Linked DNA regions of Cricetulus griseus. The protein of the gene in region 1 purifies or fractionates together with the protein of each later gene. This does not show direct contact. Links are inferred from orthologs where the notes say so. Each region holds a gene or a part of one and is shown on either strand. Other genes may lie near its edges. The genes, in order: Lmna, Kpna6 and Hnrnpm.

Evidence for each region.
Region 2: the proteins of Lmna (region 1) and Kpna6 purify together in Homo sapiens (affinity purification with mass spectrometry; 4 studies listed by BioGRID and IntAct, with this or other methods). This does not show direct contact. The link is inferred for Cricetulus griseus from reciprocal best matches to the Homo sapiens genes LMNA and KPNA6.
Region 3: the proteins of Lmna (region 1) and Hnrnpm fractionate together in Homo sapiens (co-fractionation; 3 studies listed by BioGRID, with this or other methods). This does not show direct contact. The link is inferred for Cricetulus griseus from reciprocal best matches to the Homo sapiens genes LMNA and HNRNPM.

The regions. Positions count from the first base shown.
Region 1 is NW_023276806.1:66,025,707-66,029,599, forward strand, and holds the end of Lmna (lamin), read left to right. Parts: intron 1-77; coding exon 78-298; intron 299-387; coding exon 388-610; intron 611-1,229; coding exon 1,230-1,337; intron 1,338-1,433; coding exon 1,434-1,553; intron 1,554-1,948; coding exon 1,949-2,038; intron 2,039-2,741; coding exon 2,742-3,008; intron 3,009-3,270; coding exon 3,271-3,297; downstream 3,298-3,893.
Region 2 is NC_048595.1:23,349,014-23,353,319, reverse strand, and holds the start of Kpna6 (importin subunit alpha-7), read right to left. Parts: upstream 2,884-4,306; 5' UTR 2,869-2,883; coding exon 2,649-2,868; intron 1-2,648. UniProt on the Homo sapiens protein: Functions in nuclear protein import as an adapter protein for nuclear receptor KPNB1. Binds specifically and directly to substrates containing either a simple or bipartite NLS motif.
Region 3 is NC_048598.1:95,296,880-95,300,523, reverse strand, and holds part of Hnrnpm (heterogeneous nuclear ribonucleoprotein M), read right to left. Parts: intron 1,696-3,644; coding exon 1,504-1,695; intron 615-1,503; coding exon 461-614; intron 1-460. UniProt on the Homo sapiens protein: Pre-mRNA binding protein in vivo, binds avidly to poly(G) and poly(U) RNA homopolymers in vitro. Involved in splicing.

The DNA.
Region 1 (3,893 bases):
ACAGATCCTGCCCCCCCTTCTTCATTACTTTTGGCCCTTGGGCGCTCATCACACCTTGCCTTTCCCACCCATCCCAGTTGGCAGCCAAGGAGGCAAAGCTGCGTGACCTGGAGGACTCCCTGGCTCGAGAGCGGGATACTAGCCGGCGGCTGCTGGCTGAAAAAGAGCGAGAGATGGCCGAGATGCGGGCGAGGATGCAGCAGCAGCTCGATGAGTATCAGGAGTTGCTGGACATCAAGCTGGCCCTGGACATGGAGATCCATGCCTATAGAAAGCTGCTGGAGGGCGAGGAGGAGAGGTGAGCCAGGAGGGGTCGAAAGACGTTGGCAGGAGCCTCTGGACTGCAACTACCATGACTAACCCCCCACCTTGTCTCCACCTTCCCAGGCTACGCCTGTCCCCCAGCCCTACCTCGCAGCGCAGCCGTGGCCGCACCTCTTCTCACTCATCCCAATCGCAGGGTGGGGGCAGCGTCACCAAAAAGCGCAAGCTGGAGTCCACTGAGAGCCGGAGCAGCTTCTCACAGCACGCTCGCACTAGCGGGCGGGTGGCTGTGGAGGAAGTAGATGAGGAGGGAAAGTTTGTGCGGCTGCGCAACAAGTCCAACGAGGTGGGCCTCAGGATCAGAGTCTTGCATTCAATAGCTGGGCGACATTGGTTCTCATGGAGCATCCATCTCTCTGGGAATTTGGAGTGTGACAGTCCCTACATCTCTAAAATTGTTGGGAAGATGGAAGATACCAGTGTGTGTGGCACAGTATACATGTTCACACAGCCACAGTAGGACCCTTGAGGGATAGGGTAGAGAGGCTAGTAGGTTTGAATACCAGAGATGGTGGTGGCAGACCTGGTTTTTGTTGTTGTTGTTATTTTTTATTTTTTATTTTTTGGATCAAGCTATTCCCCCTGTCCCCATGCCTCAGTACCAAAATCTGTAGTAGCTGGGACTACAGGTGTACACTATGGCATCTGGCCTACCCCGGCTCTTTTGTGAGATAAGTACCAGGTTGAAGACAGACTTTGAAGATTCTCCCCCCCCCCCCATGGAAGGCCTCATCCTCCCCGGGGAGCAGAAAGGGGATGGGTTAGGGAGTTAGTGGGGGGCAGGGGAGTTAGAAGGAACTGGGATTGACATGTAAAACAAGCTTGTTTCTAATTTAAATGAAAAAATAGAAAAAAAAAAAAGTACCGGGTTGAGTCTCCCGTTCTCCTCCCTCCCTCACTGGCAGGACCAGTCCATGGGAAACTGGCAGATCAAGCGTCAGAATGGTGATGACCCCTTGATGACATATCGCTTCCCACCAAAGTTCACTCTAAAGGCTGGGCAGGTGGTGACGGTGAGTGGAAGGGTGTTTGGGATTCTGGAGTGGAGAAGTTGGCCTCTGGACAGGAGCGTTAAGAATAAACACACTTCTTAAACTGTCTTTTCCCAGATCTGGGCTGCAGGAGCTGGGGCCACCCATAGCCCCCCTACTGACTTGGTGTGGAAGGCACAGAACACCTGGGGCTGTGGGAACAGCCTTCGTACAGCTCTCATCAACTCCACTGGAGAAGTGAGTATGTTGCAGCCTGGACCAGGCTCCCCCTGGTGGCCATAATGAGAGTCAGCTGCCCTCAACCCAATGCAACCTTGAATCACGTTCCAAGTGCCCACCCAGTAAGCAAGCTAGAAGTCTCCCCAGCAGGGTAATGGGTGGAAATCAGCCAGTGAATGTTGTTAGCTGCAGACTCGGCCTAAAGAGAGCTGATCTCCCAGGGGTGTCCTTTCTATATGTGTGCACAAGCACACTCCTTGACTCCAGTGTTAGAGGTCAGAGCAAACAGCCGGTTAGGGCAGAGCCTGGGAAGGTTCTAGGTGGTTATAGAGGGTTCTGGGAAGGTACTATGGGTAGACAGGCTGCATGGCCCCCACCCCCTGACTCTTGGGCCTGGGCCTATGTTCCCATAGGAAGTGGCCATGCGCAAGCTGGTGCGCTCAGTGACCATGGTTGAGGACGATGAGGATGAGGATGGAGATGAACTGCTCCATCACCACCACGTGAGTGGCGGCCGCCGCTGAGACCCAGCCCACATGGGTAGCCCTACCAGCCTAGGGCAGCTCCCCCACCTCTATGCCAAAGGTCTTTTCATTAAAGAATGTTTTGGAATGCCACTTGCTGCCCTGGCCTTTCTTCTCTCTCCTCCCTCTACCTTGAACAGGGAACCCAGGTGTCTGGTAAGGAAGGGAGTGGGAACTTTCTGGTGCCAAGGACTGTTCCACGGTGGCAGTGGACAAGGATCTGGATTTGTCTCCTGGGAAGGGGATGGGAGGACAGAGATGGCCCCAGCCCTGCCTCTCCCCTCCCTGCATGCATTCCTCTGCTGTCTCTTCTTCATCTGCTGCATGCTTCTTCTCACGTTCCCCTTATTTCCCGGCAACAGTGATTTCTCTCATTCCTGTCCCCTCCCTCACAAATTAAATATCTCCATCTCTGATCTCCCTCCCAATTTCCCTGTGAGATCCTAGGATTCAGGACAGTGTGAAAGCCACACCTCTCCATCTCGAAGCCTTCCTGGCCATTTTCCCCTGTCATGTCCTTCCTCCTAGCCACAGGCCTCCCAAGTCCCTATTCACTCCAGCTGTCTGGGTACAGAGGTCATCTTCCTGCCCAATGGCCAGGAAACTATAGGAGCCCAGAGCCTGGTCCTAAGCAGTCAGTCCCAGACGCACTGTCCCTCCTGAGCCTTGTCTCCCTTCCCAGGGCTCCCACTGCAGCAGCTCGGGGGACCCCGCTGAGTACAACCTGCGCTCACGCACCGTGCTGTGTGGGACTTGTGGGCAGCCTGCCGACAAGGCTGCCAGTGGCTCAGGAGCCCAGGTGGGCGGATCCATCTCCTCTGGCTCTTCTGCCTCCAGTGTCACAGTCACTCGAAGCTACCGCAGTGTGGGGGGCAGTGGGGGTGGCAGCTTCGGGGACAGCCTAGTCACCCGCTCCTACCTCCTGGGCAACTCCAGTCCCCGGACCCAGGTAAGTCATCATCGATCTGCATCTACCCCTACAGCAGGACACTGCTCACTAAGCAGCAGGGCAGGGCAGGCCACGGGAGTGGGACCCTCCTCCTTGTAGCCCCTCTTACACCCTGCCCCTCCTGTCTGAACCCCAGACTTGAGGGCAGGGCCAGAGCCAGAGGGTGAGGGTTGGGGGGACACACACCCCTTTGGGGTCAGGGAGGGAAAGGATGGGCCAGCCACTGTGCTCGCTCACATCTCTGCATTCTCTTCTCTCTTAGAGCTCCCAGAACTGCAGCATCATGTAATCTGGGACCTGCCAGGCAGGGGTGGGGCCAGAGGCCACCTGCTCCCACCTCACCTCATGCCCACCTCCTGCTCTGCACCTAATGGGAGCAGGCCTGAAGCCAAAGAAAAAATTTATTTCCTGCCTTTGGGTTTTTTTTCTTCTTCTTCTATTTTTTTTTCTAAGAGAAGTTATTTTCTACAGTGGTTTTATACTGAAGGAAAAACACAAGCAAAAAAAAAAGTCTCTATCTCAATCCTAAGTCCTTCCCATACTTTCCCTGTATCTGCCTTAAAATCAATGGGCTTCTTTCTCCAAGGAGCCCAGGGAAAGGACTGCTTTTATAACGGCTAGTTTTTGTCCTGCTGCCTTGGCCTTGCGCTTATCCCAGCACCCTGTGACATGGTGCCTGAGAGGCAGGCGTGGAGTTCTCTTCATCAGCCTCCTCCAGACAGCTGGCCCACTGCCACGCCGGCTGCAGAGAAAGGGGGTGCAGAGGGGATGGCTGAGAGAGGTCAAGCCCCTCCTGGTTCCACTGCACTTGGCTGAGCCTCCTCTGCCTGCCTTATACTCTTCCTGCCCCTCCCTAGCCTGGGGTCAGTGGATTCTCCCAGGCAC
Region 2 (4,306 bases), on another chromosome or scaffold:
TTTCTATCATAGCTTTCCTCCAGCTGTCTTGTCTGAAACTCTCACTTTGGTAAAACTAGTAAACTAGTAAACTGGTAAATCTTTTTGTTTGTTTATTTTTCGAGACAGAGTTTCTTTGTGAAATAGTCCTGGCAACTCATTCTGTAGACCAGACAGACTGTCCTCAAACTCACAGAGATCTGATTGCCCCTGCCTCCCAAGTAATGGTATTAAAGTGTGTACCATCAACTTCTGGTAGCAAATAATCTTTAAAAAGCCAGAAAGGCAGCTTTAAATAAGAAAGTTTCTTCCACAAGTTCCCCATACTTCCCTTCACATCTAAGCAGCCTAATCAACCACTGCCTAGGACAACAGAACTACAAAGACCTGTTGAGAGTTTATATTAATCAAGATCCACCCTGGATTTTGGAAGAGAATGACAAATTCCCGTTAGCAGGATGGTGGGAATGGTGATTAGATAGCCAGCACCCACTAGAATTCAAATGGTTGAGGTCTTTGCTAGAAATCAAGAGCAAAGGAACATCTATAGTTTCCTCACCAACACAGACAGTGGAATCACTAACAAAGGTCTATTAAGTGAGTAGTGAAGTATAACATATAGGCCCTGGGAGAGTATATGTAAAGAGGCAAAAGAGCAGACTCTGGGTAAAGACCGGCTATATGATAACCAGTACCCAATGGGCCTCGATTACTAGCCTTGCACTAGTTACCTAATCTTCTCAAAGCACCAATTCACTGTTGTAATGGAGATTACCCAAACTACCTAGGATTACACACTGTGATTAAATATATCCTTACTTTAGTTTGATCACTGAAGTTAAGCGGGAAGTCACCTGGCTTGATATACTAAAAATTCTTTCTGGGACTTTGGTCAGGTCTTGCTCTTGTGCTGAAGAACTTTCACATTCTAACAAGAAAAAAAAAAAAAAAAAAAAGATACCTCACTTAACACCCCCCCCCTTTTGTTTTTCTCAATACAGGGTTTCTCTATGTAGCCCTGGCTGTCCTGGAACTCACTCTGTAGACCAGGCTGGCCTTGAACTCAGAGATCCTCCTGCCTCTGAAGTGACAGTGTGTGCTACCACCTCCCGGCTCCACCTTAAATTTTAGAGGCTGATATGCAGTAAAATGTGGAAGAATCTCATTCCTGGAGGCTGTTTATTAGCTATGTTATCTTCTTTGAGATTGTTCTCAATCTGTAAAAATGAATCTAGATTACCTCTTGCCTTCCAGGGCTCCAGTTGCTCCTAGATCTTTCTTAAACTTTCTACAAGGTTCTGGAGGGGAAAGAACGGCTATTACTGAAGGTGGGGAAGAATGCCACGTTATTTATAGAGCTGGCTAGGCTCTGCACACTCCCTTTCTAGAGATGAGAAAGCTCAGAAACGGAGGGATACTGTTCTGTTGTACACTGTGCTAGACACCTTCTCTATGCAATTCTGTTTGTAAATTAAGTAAGAGGATGAGGTGTGAGAAGTGTCAGGCCAGTTCAGATTTGAAAATCACAGGCAGGGAAAATAATTTGTGTTCCCTTAGGATCAGGAATCATAAGAAATTTCAGAAGTGCATTGAGGTGCTTCTCTTAAAGTTGGTGGGGGTCAGCAATTCACCCTGAACCCTTTGAGTTTCATTCAGACTAAAGGTTTCAAACTGGACCCCTAACAAAATACCTTCACAACTTTATGTAGGGTTAAAACGGTCCCTTCCTTCCTTCAGCCCACCACTAGGGGGCCAAAGCATAAAAAGCAGTTAAATCCTAGAGCTCAGGAGTGATCACCCTGTTTTAATCACTGTGTGACCTTGGATAAGTTACTTTACCACTCTAAGCCTCAGTGTCCCCATCTGTAAAATAGGAACAACAACAGCAACCACTCCACTAGGTTGGAATTAGGCTAAACAAGACACATTAAGCGCTGACAACAATGTCTGCACATACAGATTAGCAAAGTTCTTACTTTACTGATGGCAATAAATTACCAGTGCTGGTTTTGTTTCTGAATTCAAAGACTTCACCATCGTACTCTTTTGGGCAGGGGCCTTCGTATCCAGAGTCCTCTTTTTTAAAAAAAGATCAACAGGTCTCTCTTTTCCTGCTAACCAACCAGAGTTGGTCCAGAAACCTCCAATCTCTGGCCTGCCTATGCCAAGAAGTCTTGGCGTTGGGCTCTCTAAACACTACGAAGCCTGTCACCGAGGCAAGCCGAACTGGGGCATTTTCCCGGCCTTCCAAGGCCCGGGCTGCGCTGGACCCGGCCTGCCCTTGGTTACCGGTCGGGAGCCGGCCTGCCCCGCGCCTCCTCTCCAGGGGCTCTCCCCGCTACGTGGGCAGGTAGGGCTTCACCTCGCTCCGGAGCGCGTCGGCCCAGTGCCCGCGGGGACGGGCTCCCCGTGGCGGCGGCCGGGCCTGCCGCCCGAGCCCGCTCCCAGCTCCCCGGCAGGCAGGCAGGCAGGCAGGCAGGCTGGCGCAGGGCGAGGGCAGGGCCCTGCCTTCCCCCGCGGACGCGCGAGCTCGGGCCCGAGGCCACCACGTGGGGACACCGGGGGCGCCGGGCATCCGGAACCAGCCCCGGGAGCGGCTCCCCGTGCGGCCCTGCGCCGGCCCTGCACTGGCCTGAGGGGCACTCCCGACCCGATTTCTCCTCCCGTACCTATCGGGACGCTTCCGACATCTCCTTCAGACGAGAGACAGGCCCTCGCAGACCCCGATCCCCAAGACCTCAGCCCGAGCACCCATCTGCGAGCTGCCTCACTCACCCATCGCGGCTCCGCTCGCTCAGACTTGGCGGCGGCCGCAGCTGTGGCTTCAGCGGCAGCTTCGGCAGACAATATGGCGGACCTGCAGGACGGCGGCCTGACAGGGACAAACATTTTATACCGTACTAAACGCGTTCTCAACCCTCACGCCCCTTTCCCTCCTGGAGATGACAGGGTGAGCAGGCGTTTAAAGAAGAAGGCAGCTGGGCGTTGGTGGTTTAATCCCAGCACTCGGGAGGCAGAGGCAGGTGGATCTCTGTGAATTCGAGGCCAGCCTTGTCTATAGAGAGTTCCAGGACAGCCTCCAAAGACAGAGAAATCCTGTCTCGAAAAACCAAGGAAAAAAAACAAACAACAAAAAAACAAAAAACCTAAAATAAGGCCCCAGAAGGCAGCCACTCCAGGTGTCAATCAGGGAAGGAATAGACAGGCTTAAGGGGACTACAAAGAATATATACTGAACAATGTACCAAGTTCTCAACTTTTCCTGTTTTTATTTCTTCTTTATGGTGAGGCCTCCTTTCCCAGAAAGACACCCCTTCTTTTTATAATTAAGGCCATATAGAACTGAATAAGGATCGTCTAGAGAGGGGAAGTGACTTGTTCAAGGCTATGGAGATAAGGAAAAGGAGTCAAGATTAGACTGGAGTTTGTTTCTCATTTTTGTTCACTGGAGACAGGGTTTCACTATATGCCTCTGGGTGACCTGTACCTCTCTATAGACCAGGCAGACAGCAGACTCAGAGTCACCTACCTGTGCCTCTCAAGCACTGGGATGAAAGGCTCCAGACCTTTATTTTATTTTGTTTGTGTGAGACAGGGTTGGGGGTGTCCCAGGCTGTCCTCTGATAAGTAGATAAGGATGACTTTGAACTCCAGATCTCCTGCTTCCACCTCCCAGTGTTGAGCTCACAGGTGTGCACTATCGCACCAAGAGGAGTTTAAAAGATTCTCCAGCGAGAGGGTGTGTGTGTGTGTGTGTGTGTGTGTGTTTGGCAGAGTACACTAACCTCACGAGTTAGAGTAAGGGTCAGTTCTGTATTGCTTAACACCATGGCCACCACCTGGGTTATGACTACTGAATGAATAAAGAAAAAAGAAATTCACAAGTTAGTGAGCTCCCTTTCCTAGCGATGAGGAAATTAAAGCTTTTGCCTTCTGAATCAAGGAATGCTGGGCTGATACCTAGTGCCACACACAGAGCTGGGGTTATGGCCAATCTTTAGTCTCCATCTTTTGTAAGGAGAAAGAAGACTCTTGTATCTGGACCTTAGGGCCTATCACAAATTGCCAAGTCTACCCAAATGCCTGGCCAATGAAGGGAAAAAACTCAACAGGAGGAAAAGAAATACTCAAGTAAAATGTATCATGCTAACTTGACTCCTTACCTCACACATCTCCAGGCCCAATTGTCCCCCCCCCCCCGCCCCATCTGCTTTAAAACCATAGACATTAAGTACCAGAGAAATGGCAGCAGGTAAAAGTACTTACTGCACAAGCCTGATGACCCACCAGAGCTGGGCCCTGGACTTTCTGGTACACAGGGGTTTCC
Region 3 (3,644 bases), on another chromosome or scaffold:
TGTTTAGCAGGCTAACAGTCCTACCATTTCTTAAGTATTATATTTTCTGGGTAAGGCACCGGGAATGGTCTTCTGAGTTTAATTCCTATAGTCATGTGTCACACACTGTGATTTTAAAAAGATGAAAACCCAGGGCAAGCTTAAGGCAAGGAGATGGGGCCTCCTCAAACCATGTCTACTCATAAGACACAAAGAGTCCATAAGGGATAAATTAAAAGCCCCAGTTCTTGTAAGTGATCCATTTCCTAAACTCCTCTAAAAACACCAGAAAAGACCATTCACAGCATCTGTCTATGATGCAGCCACACCGTCTATCCATTCTGTTTCACTCCATAAAATGTTCAGATTCTTTAATAATTTATTCACTCTAGTCACAGAGAAAATACAGTTATTTCTACCTTATTACTATAATATACTTAGGACTATGTTTGCCATGAGCTTAACTCCCACAGAAGGATACATATAGCTTGGACAGCTTCAATGGACTGTTCGAAAGTCACAGTGCCTATTCCACGACTTTTCCCATCTTTATCTTCCAGAATGTCTGCTCGGACCACCACACCAGCCATACTAAATACTTCCTTCAGTTTCTTCCAGCCAACTTTATAATCCAGCTAGGTGAAAGAAGAGAGTAAAACCTCAAGGTAAGCCTTTTGGGGGTGTGGGGGGGAGATGTGTTTTTATCATATTAACAAGTCTTGCTTTGGCTTACTTCACAAGAAAAATCAACTTTAGTAGAATTTTCAAGTATGATTGCAGAGCCTGCCCTTAACCCTGCTATTTACTATCTGTCTTAAACGGTACAGCTTAAGTCTCCTCATATTTACGAAACTAACACTCCACATCCATAAAAAAAAAAAAAAAAGTCAGCCAGGCAGTGGGGAGCACACACTTTTAATCCTAGCACTCAGGAGGTAGAGGCAGGTCTACAGGGTGAGTTCCAGGACAGCCAGAGCTACCTAGAGACACTCTGTCTCTAAATACAACAAATAAAAGAAAAAAAAAAAAAAGCCACCCCACCCCTTTTAAGTCTTAGCAACACTTCTGAAACCACTTTGTTCTGAAAGTATTTGTCCTTGCAGAAGATAAAGATATCATCATTCACCCCAGACACAACAAACAGCTGGGAATAAACTGTTCACTCTTACCCTGTACCAAAACTACACTACATAAACCCCAATAAGGCTGCAAACCCAGCTAGTACTTTTTCAAACATCTGAAAAGCTCAGTAAACAAGACCCCAGTAGGACTGAGGTCAATCCTGAAGCTAAAATTGCAGTAGTCAGAAGAGAACAAAGCCCAACCCAAAGGCCTACTTTAAAATAAAAACAAGCTATCTTAAGCTTACTACTACTTTAAATCACTTGTATAATAGAGACAAGATCAGTCTAAAAAGTTGTCTATTTTAAAACTTTTTTCCCTCTATGCATACTGTTTTCACATTATTTCCACCCTCCCATTTTTTTTTTTTTTCTATTTTAGAGAATGTTCCCATTTACTTACATTTGCTACAAATACTGTGCTTCCAAGTCTTCCAGCCTGTAATGCATGGATAATCTCATTTGGGATGTTAGGATTATTTAGGATACTGGGTGGGATATTAATCATTCCTGGGCCACCTGGTCCCATACCCATCCCACCAGTCGTAGCCATCACCTTTTGCATTGCTCTCCTTGCATGTTCACCATCAGGATCCTGAAAGAAGCACAAAATGTTACAGCCAGAAGTTGGTTAGAAGTAGGCTTGCAGAGACTAGTTGGAACTGCAGCCTTCACCACTGCAGAGGCTCTTTTCTGCTGGGGTACATTCAGTGACAATAGTGTTCCCATAGTATTTACAAGTGCAACCCCCAGCATCAATAATTTACAAAAATAAAATTTTAAAAGGACTCTCAGTGAAACCATGGTAGCAGTGCTGGAAAAAAAATCTGTAACCTCAACACTCAGGATTGTTAAAGCAGTTCAAGGCCTGCTTGAGCTACAGATCCAACTCAAAGCCAGCTTAGGCAAGCTAAGTGAATCCTTGTCTCAAAATAAAAGAGGAAAAAAAAAAAAAAAAAAAAAAAAAAAAAAAAAACAAAAAACAAAAAACAAAAAAAAAACAAAACTTCAGGTGGGACTCTGTTACAGTCCAGTCTGATGCCTCTGGCAGTGAACTCAATAAGTCTGTCTTCTTAAAGTCAGATGATACAACTTAGTGGCAGAGCTTATCAAGCGGTAAAGTCTGTACCAGGCGCTTCCATTTCCAACACTGAATAAAAACAAAACAAGCCAACAGAAAACGTGCAAAGACCAACCAAGATTAACAAGGTGAAATAAATCATAGCAACCCAAGAGTTGTAGGAAGAGCAACAGCTCAGAAACAAAGAACATAAAGATCAAAAGCTGAAAACAATCTTCAATTTAACGAAAATGAAAAGCTAGGGGAAATGAAAGGTTTGGCTGGCCTGAGTTGAAAATTCCAGATTGAAAAAAGATCTTCAGGCATGGATGAGTCCTAGTGTAATTTGTGTTAAACTCAATGATTTTTCAAAAAGTTTGAAATCACAGTTCTATAATCCCAGGTTTCCCAAAACCTCTCAAGGGCACCTGGTGGTGGCGTTCAAGTATAGTTAATACAGTGTATTGGCACCTGTACAAAATTACGGAAATCTGATGCTGGAGTGATTATCTTATTTGTGTCTATGTGTCCTTATAGGGGTATATGGCACATGTATGTGTGGACATGCTAAGACAAGACAGAAGAGGCACCATATTCCTTGGAGTTAGAGTTACACAGGTGGTTGTGAGCATTTGTACTTGGTGCTGGGAATCAAATGCAGACTCTCTGGGAAAGCAGCAAGGGTTCCTAACCCACTAAAAACCATCTTTCCAGCCCGACATAATTCCTGAACCCTGCTTCATCAATTAACTAGCAACACATAAGAAATGCCGTATACCCCACCATGCATTCCTTTAAGTCCCAAATAAGTTGTCTTCCTTCTAAAAAGAAAAGGTCAGGAAGGGTGGCACCTGCTTTTAATCTCAGAACTCAGGCAGTTAAAGGCAGATGATCTGGTTATAAGCTAGCCTGGCCTACACAGAACAGATATGTTCTCAAGACACCTATACCGCTCCCCTCCCCCAACACATACATAGTCAATGAGGTAAGTAATATTGGCAGTAGCATTAACAAAACATCACCCTAGAGAATAAAAAAGTACTGGAAGTCAGGAACATAGTTCAGTGACAGAAAGCTTGCCTAGTATGCAAAAAGCTCTGGGTTCAATCTTTGGAACCACAAAACAAACAAAAACAACAAAAGAAACTTGGTTTGGATTTGATAAAGAAAGATGAGTAATAAACTCATTTTACAAAATTCAAAGAGGGATAGGGAGATGGCTCAGTGGGTAAAGTGAGCAAGCCTTAGTACCCATCCTCAGCCATCCACATAAAAGCTGGGGTCCTGCAGCATGCTTGTGTCACAGTGCTGAAGGGAATGGGAAATGAAAATCTCTGGCGTTCACTGGCCTACCAGTCTAGTTTCAACAGTGAGCCCCAAGTTCAGTGAGAACACCCATCTCAAAAACTAAGGTGGAGAGTGATAGAGGAAGACTCTCAACATGCACCACTAGCATGAATATCTTTGCATAACTGTGCACACAC